3 linked regions of the Arabidopsis thaliana genome follow. The protein of the gene in region 1 interacts with the protein of each later gene in a pairwise test. Each region holds a gene or a part of one and is shown on either strand. Other genes may lie near its edges.

Evidence for each region. Proteins that work in one complex are often made in the same cells at the same time.
Region 2: the proteins of AT4G20790 (region 1) and AT1G14390 interact in a protein complementation assay, tested with the Arabidopsis thaliana proteins (2 studies listed by BioGRID).
Region 3: the proteins of AT4G20790 (region 1) and AT3G02880 interact in a protein complementation assay, tested with the Arabidopsis thaliana proteins (2 studies listed by BioGRID).

What each region holds. Positions count from the first base shown.
Region 1 is NC_003075.7:11,134,234-11,138,052, reverse strand, and holds AT4G20790 (Leucine-rich repeat protein kinase family protein), read left to right. Parts: upstream 1-1,629; coding exon 1,630-2,887; intron 2,888-2,979; coding exon 2,980-3,278; downstream 3,279-3,819.
Region 2 is NC_003070.9:4,922,146-4,927,446, forward strand, and holds AT1G14390 (Leucine-rich repeat protein kinase family protein), read left to right. Parts: upstream 1-1,891; 5' UTR 1,892-2,131; coding exon 2,132-3,377; intron 3,378-3,453; coding exon 3,454-3,575; intron 3,576-3,654; coding exon 3,655-3,901; intron 3,902-3,981; coding exon 3,982-4,175; intron 4,176-4,271; coding exon 4,272-4,649; 3' UTR 4,650-4,769; downstream 4,770-5,301. Other genes in the region: UBC1 (ubiquitin carrier protein 1), read right to left, coding at 5,149-5,277.
Region 3 is NC_003074.8:632,652-637,816, forward strand, and holds AT3G02880 (Leucine-rich repeat protein kinase family protein), read left to right. Parts: upstream 1-1,813; 5' UTR 1,814-2,167; coding exon 2,168-3,458; intron 3,459-3,645; coding exon 3,646-3,963; intron 3,964-4,056; coding exon 4,057-4,331; 3' UTR 4,332-4,633; downstream 4,634-5,165. Other genes in the region: ILR1 (Peptidase M20/M25/M40 family protein), read left to right, coding at 170-484, 577-705, 810-1,208.

The DNA.
Region 1 (3,819 bases):
AACCATTGGAGTAGCAAATCCACCGGCCGACCATGGAGACGCAGGATTCATCGTCCCCTGAAAAAACGAAAACAGAGTCATCGTCTCCATCGTTATTTGTTGGCCGTACACTCAATTTCATAAACTGTAAAGCTTCTTATGATAACTCATACCTTCCATCTCGACAGATTTTGACAATGTGTGTATGATTTTCGAAGTGACGAGGGTTTATCTTCTTTTGACAATGACGACTTCAGAGAAGATGTCGACGACGAGAGAAGTTTATGTTCAACGAGGGTTTAGGAGATAAGTTTATGTTTGGTTTCAATGTCTTGAGGACAAATGGGTTTGAGTTTTGTGATATTAGCCCATGACAAATCTTGAATTTTGAATGATATTGGGCTGGTTTGAATTTGGCCCATTAGTTTTCATCAAAACACAAGAGGGGTAAAACGGTCTTTGACTATTTGCTGTATTAGAGGAGGGCTGTATTAGAGAGGACAGAAGAAACTACCCTATCAGCCTATTTTTAAAAAAACTGTCTAGTTCTCAAATTATTTCCCTAAAAACTGCCTAGTTCTCAACTTATCTCAAATGACTATTCCTCTCACTTTTTGAGTTAGTGCTCATGGAAGTAGCATTTAGCTTCTGTTGAATTCACCTTTTAATGCGTTGCATTAGTGTAAAATTCTCTAACAATTAAGAAGCCTGAGTAAGTTTGCAATAAATTTTATTTTCTTTATCAAAAGTTTACCTTTTAGCTCCTGTTGAATTTCCATTTTTTTAAAGATTCATTAAGACAATAACTATTATTTTTATATATTTTTATTATTCTTAATTAAGAAAATACAAAAAATTATAAAATATGTTAATAACAAAATAATAAACAATACAACATAGGAAACTATACCAATTAAAGAAATTAAATGCATATAGATTAGATGAATAAAAATAGAAATGTAGAAAATTAAAAATTATATATATGATTCTATAAATCTAAATTTTAAATTAGGCATATTAATTTGGTAAAATTGCAGAAATATAAAGTTCATTGGATATAAAGTGAAACTATTGAAGATTTTATTGATAGTAGTTTATATAATTCAATTCAATTCTCAAACAAAAATTATATTTAACATTGAGCACATTTACCAAATAATTATCGACTCAAATTCACCCACGTAGATGTTTGTTGCGCAAGAAAGAGAAAAAGTTTAGAACAAGATAAATAGACCAAAGAGACAAGAAATATATGAAAGGAATTCGAGGCACAATCTTACAAATACAAGCAAAACCATTCTAGATAATTTTTTACCAACTGACATAAACACATTATTATGTGTTCAATGACAACGAAAATGATAATTAAACATTGAAATTTGTTTTCATAGTGGAGCTATTGTAAAAAGTGTAGATATTCACAAAATTTAAAAAACTTCACAATTATTATTATTTTAATAATCTTCAACTTCCAAGCACACGATCACTAAAAGGAAAATGGGCGCGTAAATCTCATCCCACTCTGTTTCAAAATAACCGCCAACAACAACAACACCTCCAATAACACAGAAACTACCTCTCTGCTTCTCTCTCTAATCTCACCCATACACGAAACCAAATAACGAAACCTATTTGCTCTCTATCTCTCCAATGGCGTCTTCTCTGTTCTTCATCTTCTTCCTCACGTCACTACTATCATCCTATCTTCCTCTCTCAGTATTCTCCGCAACCGTCGTCGAAGACCTCGCTAATCTAAGTCCACCTCCTGATTTCAACACCACTATTTCCAACAACTGTCTTCGTGATCCAATGCTCCGTTACTGCAACAACACTTCCTCTTCTCCAATGGACATTGTCGAGATTTTCAGATCCACAATCGTCGCTAGTCATCTCTGTAACGAGTCCAAAAACCCTAACTGCGTTGAATCTTTCCCTAGAATCAGAATTCACGGTCGTCCTAAAACCGCTGCTCTTTACCTCTCTTTCGATTTCTTCTGGAAGTACTGTCCTTTAACCGTCGTTGATATCGAGTTAGTGAATAACTCTCTAACGAATGGTTTTCCGACAAATGTTCTGTCTTGTGCTCAGATTCGTACTCTTGATCTGAGTTACAACCAATTCTCTGGTTTTGTTCCGGTTCAAGATCTCTCAGGCTTACCCAATCTGACCCATTTGAACCTATCGTATAACCGATTCTCCGAGAATAAGATCTCGGATTCTGAGTTCTTCAAACGGTTTAACGCCTCTAGTTTCATACAGTCCGGTGTTCTTCCCAACGTGAAGCGTTACAAGATGAAAGTTTTGGTCTTGTTGATTGTTTTTCCAATAATGGTGATTTTGCTCTGTTTTTGCTTTGGCTGGTTATGTGTCAAGAGACCTGATTACTTACCAAGAACATGCCGGAGAAGAAACAAGTTCACATTCGCGATGCTTGAAGCAGCAACGGATGAGTTTTCAGATCAACATCTTGTGAGCATGAGCAATACAGTGGATATCTACAAAGGAACGTTAAGAGACGGGACAGAGACGAAGATCGAGGTTTATAAAGAGAAGGTTTCGAGTGAGAAAAGGCGTGAATTCGCAGAGGTATGCGAGATGGTTTTTAAGTTACGACACAAGAACTTGGTAAGAGTGTTGGGTTGGTGTAATAGTAGAAACATGAGAGCTTTGGTTACAGAATGGATTCAAGGTGAAAATGTTGAGACTTGGTTAAGTTCGTCAATGGCTTTATCATGGAGAAGAAGGTTAAGAGTAGTTCTAGGAGTTGTAGAAGGTATTTGTTATCTATCAGATCAATGGCCAGAGATTACATTTGATCTCACCACAAGCAGTGTTTTGTTATCCGATGATAATCAAGAACCTTTGATTTCTCATTTCAAGATTGGAGATAGAAACAACTTGTCAACAAGTAAGGCTTCATCTTCTTCTTGCAAAAATCAAAACCTTTTTAAGGCTATAAAAGCTAAGTCTGTTGTTGTTGTTGTTGTTGTGTTATTACAGATATATTCAACTTTGGATTGTTTTTTGTGGAGATGATTACAAATCTAAGACCTGATTTGGGACAAGAAGATTCAGAAAGAAGGTATCTTGAGTATATAAGAGTTCATTATCCGGATAATCTAGAGAGAGTGATTGATGAGAAGATGAAGATTGAGGGGAGAACATTTGATCAAGTTAAGCAAGCCATTACGCTAGGACTGATGTGTACTGATATAATACCACCATTAAAGCAACCAAGCTTGACGCAGATTTATGACTTGGTGAGTTCATTGTATGAGTCTAGTTCACGACATCATTGAAATACCTTGTAAAGCTTTATTGGTTTCTTTTGATTTTCAGACATCTGGTGTTAGATAGTATTGTAAGGATTAAAGACATATTTGTGTGTTTTTTCTTTGATTACTATAAGTACTGAGAGAATTTGCAGAAAATGAGTACTTAATTTGCAGACATGAAATCTGTAAATGGGCTTCATTTCTGCAAATGGGCTTTATTAGCTGAAATGGGTTTCATAGTTTTATGGGTTCTCAAATGACCCGACCCGGGTTGGAAGATATAGAAACTATACACTGGTTGGCAAATGGGAACGTTCGATTAAAAATTCGGTAACTACTACGACGTGACTTGTCTCTTCTCCGTTGAAAAGCCATCGACAGTTATGTATGAGTGTATCATTTATCAACTTGAAAGCAATTTCAGTTTTTAAAATAATCCAAATACTAATAAACCAGAAATTAACCCATCATCAAAGCATTAATAATCTTCATTACCATTTGAAACCGAAACTTGTATCACAATTAAATAACGATCATAAAATTAGACGTTTTTTTTTCTCTATCT
Region 2 (5,301 bases), on another chromosome or scaffold:
AAATTTTATGTCACAACTAAACTACAGTGTAAACTTTATGATATTTTTTTTTTTCTGAATTTATTCAACTATATGCTATATAATTTGGGTAATTTATTTTGAACATGCCTAATTTATATGGACCTAAAGATGCATATTTTGGGCCTTAAATTAGTTGGATACATATATGGGTTTAAATTCTAACCTTTAATAAGCCTATAAGCCCAAAAAATAACAGTTTGTAAGTTATCTGACAAAGGATTTTAATAATAAAGCTGCATATAAAATTGAAAAGAAATGCATGTTGTATAATATTAATTGATACTTTGGCAGTGTCGCTTATTACAAAGGCAGTTGCATGTGATGTGCTTGCAAACTCGCATTTTATCTTCCCTTACCTTTTTGTTTTTAGAAAATAGTATATTTTTTCATCATGATTACTTGGAAACTTGGAAGCTGTGACAAAATATTGGTTTTGAGTGCTTCTGATAAAACCTTGTATTTTGAACTTGAAAACTTTTGTTTTCAGCCATTTTTTTAACTTACTACGATGACGGTCACTTGTTTTGGGATGAAACTTTTTACTACTTGGTGTTGGTGATGCATGGTTTCTATAATTCCTCTTATACAACAAAACTTTTTTGGTTTTTGTCAAAAATTGTATATAACCAACCTTCTTTTTATTAGGATCGCACGTCAGGCCACTTAAAAAGAAGTAAAGAACAATGAGAGATCGATGTAAAAAGAATAAAGGAACAAAAGAGAAAGTAATGGACAGTTCATCACAATTCACACACCAAAAAGAAAACAGCTGAACATTTGTTAGAATCTCAACACTTTCCAAACACACGAAAACAAAATGACACTCATTTCTCACCGACAATAGTGATGAAAATATATCATGGCCGAACTAATTGGTAGTATTATTAGTTTGAGATTGGTATTTTTTGTAACAGTTTGATATTGAATTGTTGATTGATGACCACGAGAAAAAAGAAGTACGATTTATATCATTTGTTGGTTTACTGTATATAGATGATCATTTGGTGTCCTTCTGGTTTCGAGAAAAACAACAAGTGGTTAAAAGTGTAGTTCGAGAAAAAGATTTGGTTAGGACATGTAATTCTTTATTTGAGCTTTTAATCCAACGAACGGGGTTAGATTTTCCTTGCGACGGTGGCTTTGGATGATCCTTAACGGCACGATCTGATCATTACATATTTACATTGACGAAAGAGCACGTGTAAAAAAACTCGTTCACTGGTCTGGTTGACTTTTATTACATACTGTCTGGTCGCTATATATCTATCAAATCTCTATGCATTAACAATTAATGCAACGTTGCTCATTAATTAAGTATGTATTTTTTGTTATTTTACAAGTAGTATTGATATTACAGGAGTTAAAATGTTATAAAAGAAACTACAAACATTTATTCGTAAGTTTATTCATTTATATTTTTTAAAAAATTGGTAAAGATGAAAGAATTTACCTTGGGGAAGAGATCAACGGATTTCGAGAGAAGTACTACTACACAACATTTATTCGTCAAACATGTATGTATTTGTATGTTTATGCATGTATTATGTATCAAATAAATGCATGTTATATGAGTAATAAAGAAAGGTCTTCTGACCATAACAGAGAAATTAATTAAGAACCAGTTGAAGTAAATAAATAACTCTAAATTGTGGAAATTTTAGATCAAAAGTAGATAAATAGTCAGATATTTCATGTGGATTTTACGTATTTTAAGGATCTAATTCATTTTATGCTTTTAAAAAATTTCATTCACTTTCTTCGAAGCAGTAAAACAGTCTGTCAATGTGAAACTTATGAACAATCAACATAAGAAACAAAAATTAAACAAAATTTGTATTTATTGTCTTCTTCTCAGCAGAACTTCTCTCCACTTAATTTTGTTTCTTGCTCTGTCCCAAAAACATTGTTTCATTTTTTTATCTCCCAATTTCCCTAGAAAATCTGCTTCCGATCTAAAAAAATCTCTAGAATTTATGTACAAAACACCATTTTTTTAGACTACTAAACAAATACTAACACTAATCTCGGCTACAATAACAGAAAGACCTTCTGTTCCTTAAGCCACAATAACATCTTTCTTTCTAATTTCTCTGTAATTCTTCCTGAGAGAATGCATAGTTCCTCTAAAAGCCAGGCCTTTTCTCTCACTTTTCTTCTCTTTCTTTTTCTTCTGCCATCAGTCTCAGAATCACAGCTAATATCAAGTGAATCAAGAACTCTATTAGAAATCCAAAAGCATTTACAATATCCACCAACTCTTCGATCATGGAGCAACTGGACCAATTTCTGCTACCTCCCTTCTTCTCCTTCTTTCAAAATCCTCTGTTTCAATGGTCATGTAACTGAATTAACCGTCACGGGGAACAGAACCGTTAAGCTCCCCGGAAGATTCTCAAGCGACTCACTATTCACTGTTCTTACAAAACTCTCAAACTTAAAGACATTGTCTCTGGTCTCTCTTGGCATCTCTGGTCCTCTCCCTTCACAGATCATCAGGTTATCTTCATCTCTTCAATCTCTGAATCTCAGTTCTAATTTCATCTCTGGGAATATTCCTAAAGAGATCTCGTCGTTGAAGAATCTGAGAAGTCTTGTTCTAGCGAACAATTTGTTTAACGGAAGTGTTCCTGATCTCAGAGGATTGTCGAATCTTCAAGAGCTGAATTTAGGCGGTAATAAACTCGGTCCTGAAGTTGTTCCTTCACTTGCAAGTAACTTGATTACTATTTCATTGAAGAACAACTCTTTTGGATCAAAGATTCCAGAACAGATCAAGAAGCTGAATAAGCTTCAGAGCTTAGATCTTTCCTCCAACAAGTTCACTGGCTCAATCCCAAGATTCCTGCTTTCGCTTCCTTCGCTTCAGAATCTAAGTTTAGCACAAAACTTGCTGAGTGGATCACTTCCAAATTCATCGTTGTGCAACTCCAAGCTTAGAATTTTAGATGTTTCTCGGAATCTTCTGACTGGGAAGCTTCCATCTTGCTTCTCTTCCAAGAAACAGACAGTACTGCTCTTCACATTCAATTGCTTGTCTATAAATGGTTCTCCTTCTGCAAAGTATCAGCGTCCAGTTACCTTCTGTGAAAACGAAGCAAAGCAAGCAGTAGCTGCTGTGAAGTCTGACACTAAAGATAAAGAAAGGAAAGAAGAAGATACAGGAATCGAACTTGGATTGGTGATTGGCATTATCATCGGTGTGATCCTCGTTTCAGCGGTTTTAGCTGGCTTGGTTTTGGTTAGGATGAGAAAATCAAGATCAAAAGAAGAGCCTTTGGAAGCAAACAACGTCGATCAGGTCACTGTTTGCAGCAACACCACCAGGTCCACCACATCAAAGACAGTACCAGATCTAAGTAGGCTATTACTTTGAAATCTTGAATCAAGTTTTCACACCCATTAACCTAACTAGCTTGATTTTTTCAAATGCAGGACGTGTACCGCAAACCATGAGATCCGCGGTGATTGGACTATCACCATACCGAGTTTTCTCTTTGGAGGAACTGGAAGAAGCAACCAACAATTTTGATGCAGAGAATCTCTGTGGAGAACAGGTAAAGGAAAATGTAAATAAGACATGATTTAAAATTGATCCGAGTGTCTAACTAATCGATATATCTAATTTCAAAACAGCTGTACAAAGGTTGTCTTAGAGAAGGCATAGCAGTGACAGTGAGGTGTATTAAGCTGAAACAGAAGAATTCAACACAGAATTTAGCTCAACAAATGGAAGTTTTATCAAAGCTAAGGCATATGCATTTGGTCAGTGTTCTTGGACACTGCATTGGTACTTATCAAGATCATCATCCTTATGCCGGAAGCACTATTTTCATTGTCCAAGAATATATCTCTAACGGGTCTTTGAGGGATTACCTCACCGGTAATACTTGAAAAAGATTATCGATTTCAAGAACTTATATTTTTGTTGGGAAACTAATTATTTGGAAATGTTTTTGGCAGATTGGAGAAAGAAAGAGGTGTTGAAATGGCCTCAGAGAATGTCGATAGCGATTGGAGTTGCTCGAGGAATACAGTTCTTGCACACAGGAGTGGCACCAGGAATATTTGGGAACAATTTGGAAATAGAGAATGTTTTACTTGATGAAACACTCACTGTAAAACTCAGTGGTTATAGTATTCCTTTACCATCCAAGGTATATAAACAAACCAGATATAATATAATCAGGATATAGCTTCTAATCTTCAGTTTAACCTCTCATGAAATATATAACCTTCTGGGGGAATTTCAGGTTGGAGCGGAGAGCCCTAGTAATGAAGATGGAGAGAAAGAAGATGTGTACCAGTTTGGAGTGATACTAATTCAGATCATCACAGGCAAAGTAATAGCAGCTGCATCTTCAGAGTTGGGGAGCTTGAAGCTTCAGCTGGAGAACAGTTTGAGAGACGAACCATCGGTGTTGCGTAGCTTGGCAGATCCGTGTGTGAGAGGAACATATGCATACGAGTCATTGAGAACCACAGTAGAGTTTGCCATTAACTGTCTTTGTGAAGATCAGAGGAAGCGGCCATCGATAGAGGATGTTGTATGGAATCTGCAGTACACAATTCAAGTGCAACAAGGATGGACAAGCAGTGAGAACCTCGGGCTTGGTGGTTCAGAACTATAGAAGAGAAATATAAAATCACCATCCTTGAAGAACATAGAGAAACTGATCAATGTCAAATTCAAGGCCTATATGAGAATACATAAAGTTGAACCTACTAATACTTAAGGTACTTACGAGTCTCATGTGAAGCTTCAGATTTTGGTGTAGAAATTGGATTAGCGTCACAAAGAAAGCAATGCAATTGTTAAGGCAATGAAAGGGTGTAACAGAAGGATAAGGCCACAAACCCTTAAATAAAATATCGCAACTTTGTGGAATTTGGGTACAAAGTTGTTTTTTGTAGCTAGCAAGTAAATCGTAATACATATATACACAAAAGTGAATAATTCAGATGGTTTGGTACAAAGTTGTTTTTTTAAGGATGTTGGGTTACATCAAAGCATGGAATCACTTAAATAGTTTTGGAAACACAAGACATGAATGAAAAGAGAAGAAAGCTGTTGCTGAATCGTGATTGAGAGAAAGTAGAGAGAGCTACAACGCTTACAACAAACTACTACTAGTCAGCAGTCCAGCTTTGCTCAACAACATCACGCACTCTCCTGTTGTACTCGCGCTTGCTTTCGCTGTACATCCGAGCAGCTTCCGAGTTTGCAGGAGAATTCGGATTAGGGTCACAGAGCAAGGACTGCAATAACAAAGGGAAAAACGG
Region 3 (5,165 bases), on another chromosome or scaffold:
TTCGATGTGGGTTAGTGTTTTCTAAGATTCTTAGATATATGTGTGTGTATGTCTTTGATTGCTAATTGTTATGTGTGTGTGTTTTCTAGAGTTGTTAGTGTGTGTGTCTTATGAGAGTTTGGTGAATCTTATGAGGGTTTTGAACGAAAACACAATTTTTTTGCAACAGGGGACAGTAAAACTTGTGTTTCAACCAGGCGAGGAAGGTTATGCAGGTGCTTATGAAATGCTAAAAGACGAGATTCTAGACGACTTAGATGGGATACTCAGTGTTCATGTCTTTCCATCGATCCCATCAGGTGGTATTGGTTCTAGGCCTGGGACCGTTCTTGCAGGTGCAGGATTGTTTACAGTCACGGTTCACGGTCAAGGTAGCCACGCAGCTACACCGCACTTCTCTAAAGACCCGGTTCTTGCAGCTTCTTCCGCTGTTGTTGCCTTGCAACAGATTGTTTCGCGGGAACTGGATCCACTCGAAGCTGGTGTAAGTTTGCTTTCCACTTTCAAAGCATTGGTGTTTGATGAATCAGAATCTTGGCTGAAATCAGCGGAGATTGGTTTTTTTATGTTTCTCAGGTGGTTACAGTTGGATATATTGAAGGAGGTCATGCTCAAAACGTAATACCGCAGAGTGCGAAATTTGGAGGTACTTTCAGAAGCTTAAGCAACGATGGGCTTCTATTTATCCAAAGACGGATCAAAGAGGTAAAGAGATTGTTTTTTACACCATTTTTCTATACAATCTTGTTCTACTATTCGAATAATGTAGGTCCCTAACCCTGTTTAAATGTTTCTTGATGATGATGCAGATTTCAGAGGCACAAGCATCGGTATACCGATGCAAAGCAGAAGTAAACTTCGAAGAGAAAAAGCCGTCGCTTCACCCGGTAATGAATAACGACGAGGGCTTATACGAGCACGGTAAAAAAGTAGCGGAAGCGATGATTGGAAAGAATAACTTCCATGATTTCCCGGTGACAATGGGAGGAGAGGATTTCAGCTTCTTCACTCAAAAGACTAAGGCTGCGATTTTCGTGCTGGGGGTAAAGAATGAGACGCTAGGCGCTGGTAAGCCGCTTCACTCGCCTTACTTCTTTGTTGATGAAGAAGCTCTTCCTGTTGGGGCTGCTCTTCACGCAGCTATGGCCGTTTCTTATTTGGACGAACATGGTCATAGCCATGAAGAAGAGGTTAAGAGTGAATTATAGAAGGTGTTGGGAGAAAATCAGCTTATATTAGTCATCATCTATTTGTATTTGAACTTGAAAGTTAGGTGAGGTTAGGTTTCGGGTTGGGAAGAATGTTTGTTAATAGTCACGAGAAACCAACCACTTCTATTAAAATAAATTTGATGTAAGAGTTTTAAAAATTGAACAATTGAAATCTTCAAAATGAATACCACTTCTTAAGTTCTCTGTTGACCATTTCTATTACCTTCCTTTCAAATTGATACAACAAATACATAAAAAAAAAAAAAAAATGTCTATGGTACAAACTTATATCAGAAATAAAAACGGTGTCGGAGAGGCTAATCTTTGTTTGTCAACGGTAGCTCAGACACATTTGACAGACCTGGCATGTCTTTGGTCACACTCAACCTGCAAAAAAAAAAAACATAAAAGAAACAAAACGATAACGACCATTAATTTTTTAATTAGACCTAATTTATTGATCTAATACAAAAGAAAGGAAAAACAGAGGTCGTTTAAACGTCTACAAAAAACATTACTGCAGTGATTTATTGTCATTTATGTAACGCAAATATAGTTGACTCTGATAAAATTGTTACAACTAGTATTCATAAGTCATAACCTTATAATTAATTAATTATCTTTCTGTAAATTAGCTGTCAAATTAAATACATAAGATTCTCTTTTAACTTTTTTGTCAAAAAGGAAATATTCCAATTAGTAACTTTTCTTTTTTTCCTTTTTCTCTGCAATTATGACCATTTTCTCTCTCTTAGCCGGCTCTAGAGAGAGAAGAAAGACAGAGCTGAAACTCTTGTAAACCAAAAAACACAAAAGTCTCTTTGTTCAAACACTCGTTTACGCGTAGCCGAAATAAATTTTCCAAAAACCCATATCCGAAAAAGTCGATATATTTATTGAATTTTTGGAACCAAGGAGACGAAGAATTTACACGGTTTTTGAAGAAGAAGAAGAAGATGAAGTATAAGCGTAAGCTAAGTCTCTCTGTTGTCTTCCTCTTTGTCTTCTATCTCGCTGCGGTGACTTCAGATCTAGAGTCTGACCGGAGAGCTTTACTCGCTGTTCGTAACAGTGTCCGTGGCCGTCCTTTGCTATGGAACATGAGTGCTTCTTCTCCTTGTAATTGGCACGGAGTCCACTGCGATGCGGGTCGGGTCACGGCTCTCCGATTACCCGGATCTGGTTTATTCGGTTCTTTACCAATCGGTGGTATTGGTAATCTAACCCAGCTTAAGACTCTTTCTCTCCGGTTCAATTCTCTCTCTGGTCCTATCCCTTCGGATTTCTCCAACCTTGTTCTCCTCCGTTACTTGTATCTTCAAGGTAATGCCTTTTCCGGTGAGATTCCGTCGCTTCTCTTCACGCTTCCGAGCATAATCAGAATCAATCTAGGGGAGAATAAATTCTCGGGTCGGATCCCGGATAATGTCAATTCTGCGACCCGGTTGGTTACTCTGTATTTGGAGAGGAATCAACTCTCTGGTCCGATCCCTGAGATCACGCTTCCTCTTCAGCAATTCAATGTTTCTTCTAATCAGTTAAACGGGTCTATTCCGAGTTCGTTGTCGTCTTGGCCTCGAACTGCTTTTGAAGGTAACACTCTCTGTGGGAAGCCTTTAGACACTTGTGAGGCAGAGAGCCCCAATGGTGGTGACGCTGGAGGACCCAATACGCCGCCGGAGAAGAAAGATAGCGACAAGTTATCCGCCGGAGCTATTGTCGGGATTGTGATCGGATGTGTTGTTGGTCTGTTACTGCTTCTTTTGATTCTGTTCTGTCTCTGTAGAAAGAGAAAGAAAGAAGAGAACGTTCCATCTAGGAATGTTGAAGCTCCTGTCGCTGCTGCGACTTCCTCCGCTGCTATACCAAAGGAAACGGTGGTTGTTGTCCCGCCGGCTAAGGCTACGGGGTCGGAGAGTGGTGCGGTGAATAAAGATTTGACCTTTTTCGTGAAATCTTTCGGGGAATTCGATTTGGATGGATTGTTGAAGGCTTCAGCTGAGGTTCTTGGGAAAGGAACAGTTGGGTCGTCGTATAAGGCAAGCTTTGAGCATGGGTTAGTGGTGGCTGTGAAACGGTTAAGAGATGTTGTGGTGCCTGAGAAAGAGTTCAGAGAGAGATTGCATGTTTTGGGATCAATGAGTCATGCCAATCTCGTGACTCTGATCGCTTACTATTTCAGCCGTGACGAGAAGCTTCTTGTCTTTGAGTACATGTCTAAAGGAAGCTTGTCTGCGATATTGCACGGTATAGAATAGTAATCTCCATTTGTGCATTTGTTTATTTTTAGGGTTCTTAGTTTAGCTGATGCTAGTTTGTGATCTTGATGGACCTGGTTTGGCTAAAATTGACACTGATTACTGAATTGTTTCATAGTTAGTTTATCTTATGTGTCTTCAAGCTCGGTTTTGAAGCTCTTTTAATGGATTTGTAGGGAACAAAGGAAACGGGAGAACTCCGTTGAACTGGGAAACCAGAGCCGGTATAGCCTTAGGAGCTGCAAGAGCGATTAGCTACCTACATTCGCGTGATGGGACAACTTCTCATGGAAACATTAAGTCCTCGAACATACTATTATCTGACTCCTATGAAGCTAAGGTCTCTGATTACGGTCTTGCTCCCATCATTAGTTCTACATCTGCACCTAACCGTATTGATGGCTACCGTGCCCCTGAAATCACTGATGCTCGCAAAATATCCCAAAAAGCTGATGTCTATAGCTTTGGCGTCCTAATCCTTGAATTACTCACAGGTAACAAACAATCAAGGATAGATATATCTTTTTAACTGCTTTTTTTGCAATTGCTGTGGTTTCTAGGTTTTAACATGGAACATTACATTGCAGGTAAGTCTCCAACGCATCAGCAGTTGAATGAAGAAGGCGTAGATTTGCCGAGATGGGTCCAATCTGTTACCGAGCAACAAACACCGTCCGATGTGCTTGATCCCGAGCTCACAAGGTACCAACCTGAGGGCAATGAGAACATCATTCGTTTATTGAAGATCGGTATGAGCTGTACGGCTCAGTTCCCAGATAGTCGTCCTTCGATGGCTGAAGTCACCAGACTCATTGAGGAGGTTTCTCATTCATCTGGCTCCCCAAATCCTGTATCCGACTGATTTTTTGGGGGTCTAAATTGATTGATTTGAATATTGTTTGGGGTCAAGTTGCAATTTCTTGAATAGTGTCGACCCCACTTCCCGCCTTTTTTCTACTTCTTCTTCTTTGTTCTTGTTCTAGTTTGTTCGTTAATTCTTGAGCCTCAAATTGAGATGAGACCTATCAGTTTCTTTTTTTCTTTCTTTCTACTTTTCTTTATTTCCAAAGTTTTAAAAATGTCTATAAAACTATTGCTTTTGCTAATTTTTGTATAAATATATAGTTGATTGCGTGTGAATAAATTGGTTTTTGTTTTCTTCTTTACACATCTTATCCCAGAATCCTAGTCAACGATTCAGCCAAAAAACAATGTCAACGAGTTTTATTTTTTATCGCCGTCCAAAATTTTGAGCCAAAAACAAAGTCAACGACAAAAGTGGTCATGAATATCGTCTCACGATTGACTGACAAATACTTCACGATTTGATTAGATATGAAGTTTTATAATGTGAAGTTGGTAACCACTAACTAATAACCCTACTTCACAGGAGAAAGAAAAAACATTTTAGATATGAAAAAACAACATTGACCCAGAAAGATATATATTTGCTTAGAGATTTTGTATGAAAGAATTACTAGTGCTGATAAACTATTTAGTTCAAGCTTAAAGGGAAATCGATTAGATAATTTTTCGAATTATTTGAAGAAAACATATTGTGATCTGGACTTATAATTTTTCATGTGATATACCATTTACACCGAGTCATGGGCAGTTGCCACAACTTTATCTCATGTTCCAACTCGTACCAGACTGGGTACATATGCACATGGGGTTCAATAAATTTATTAGTGGG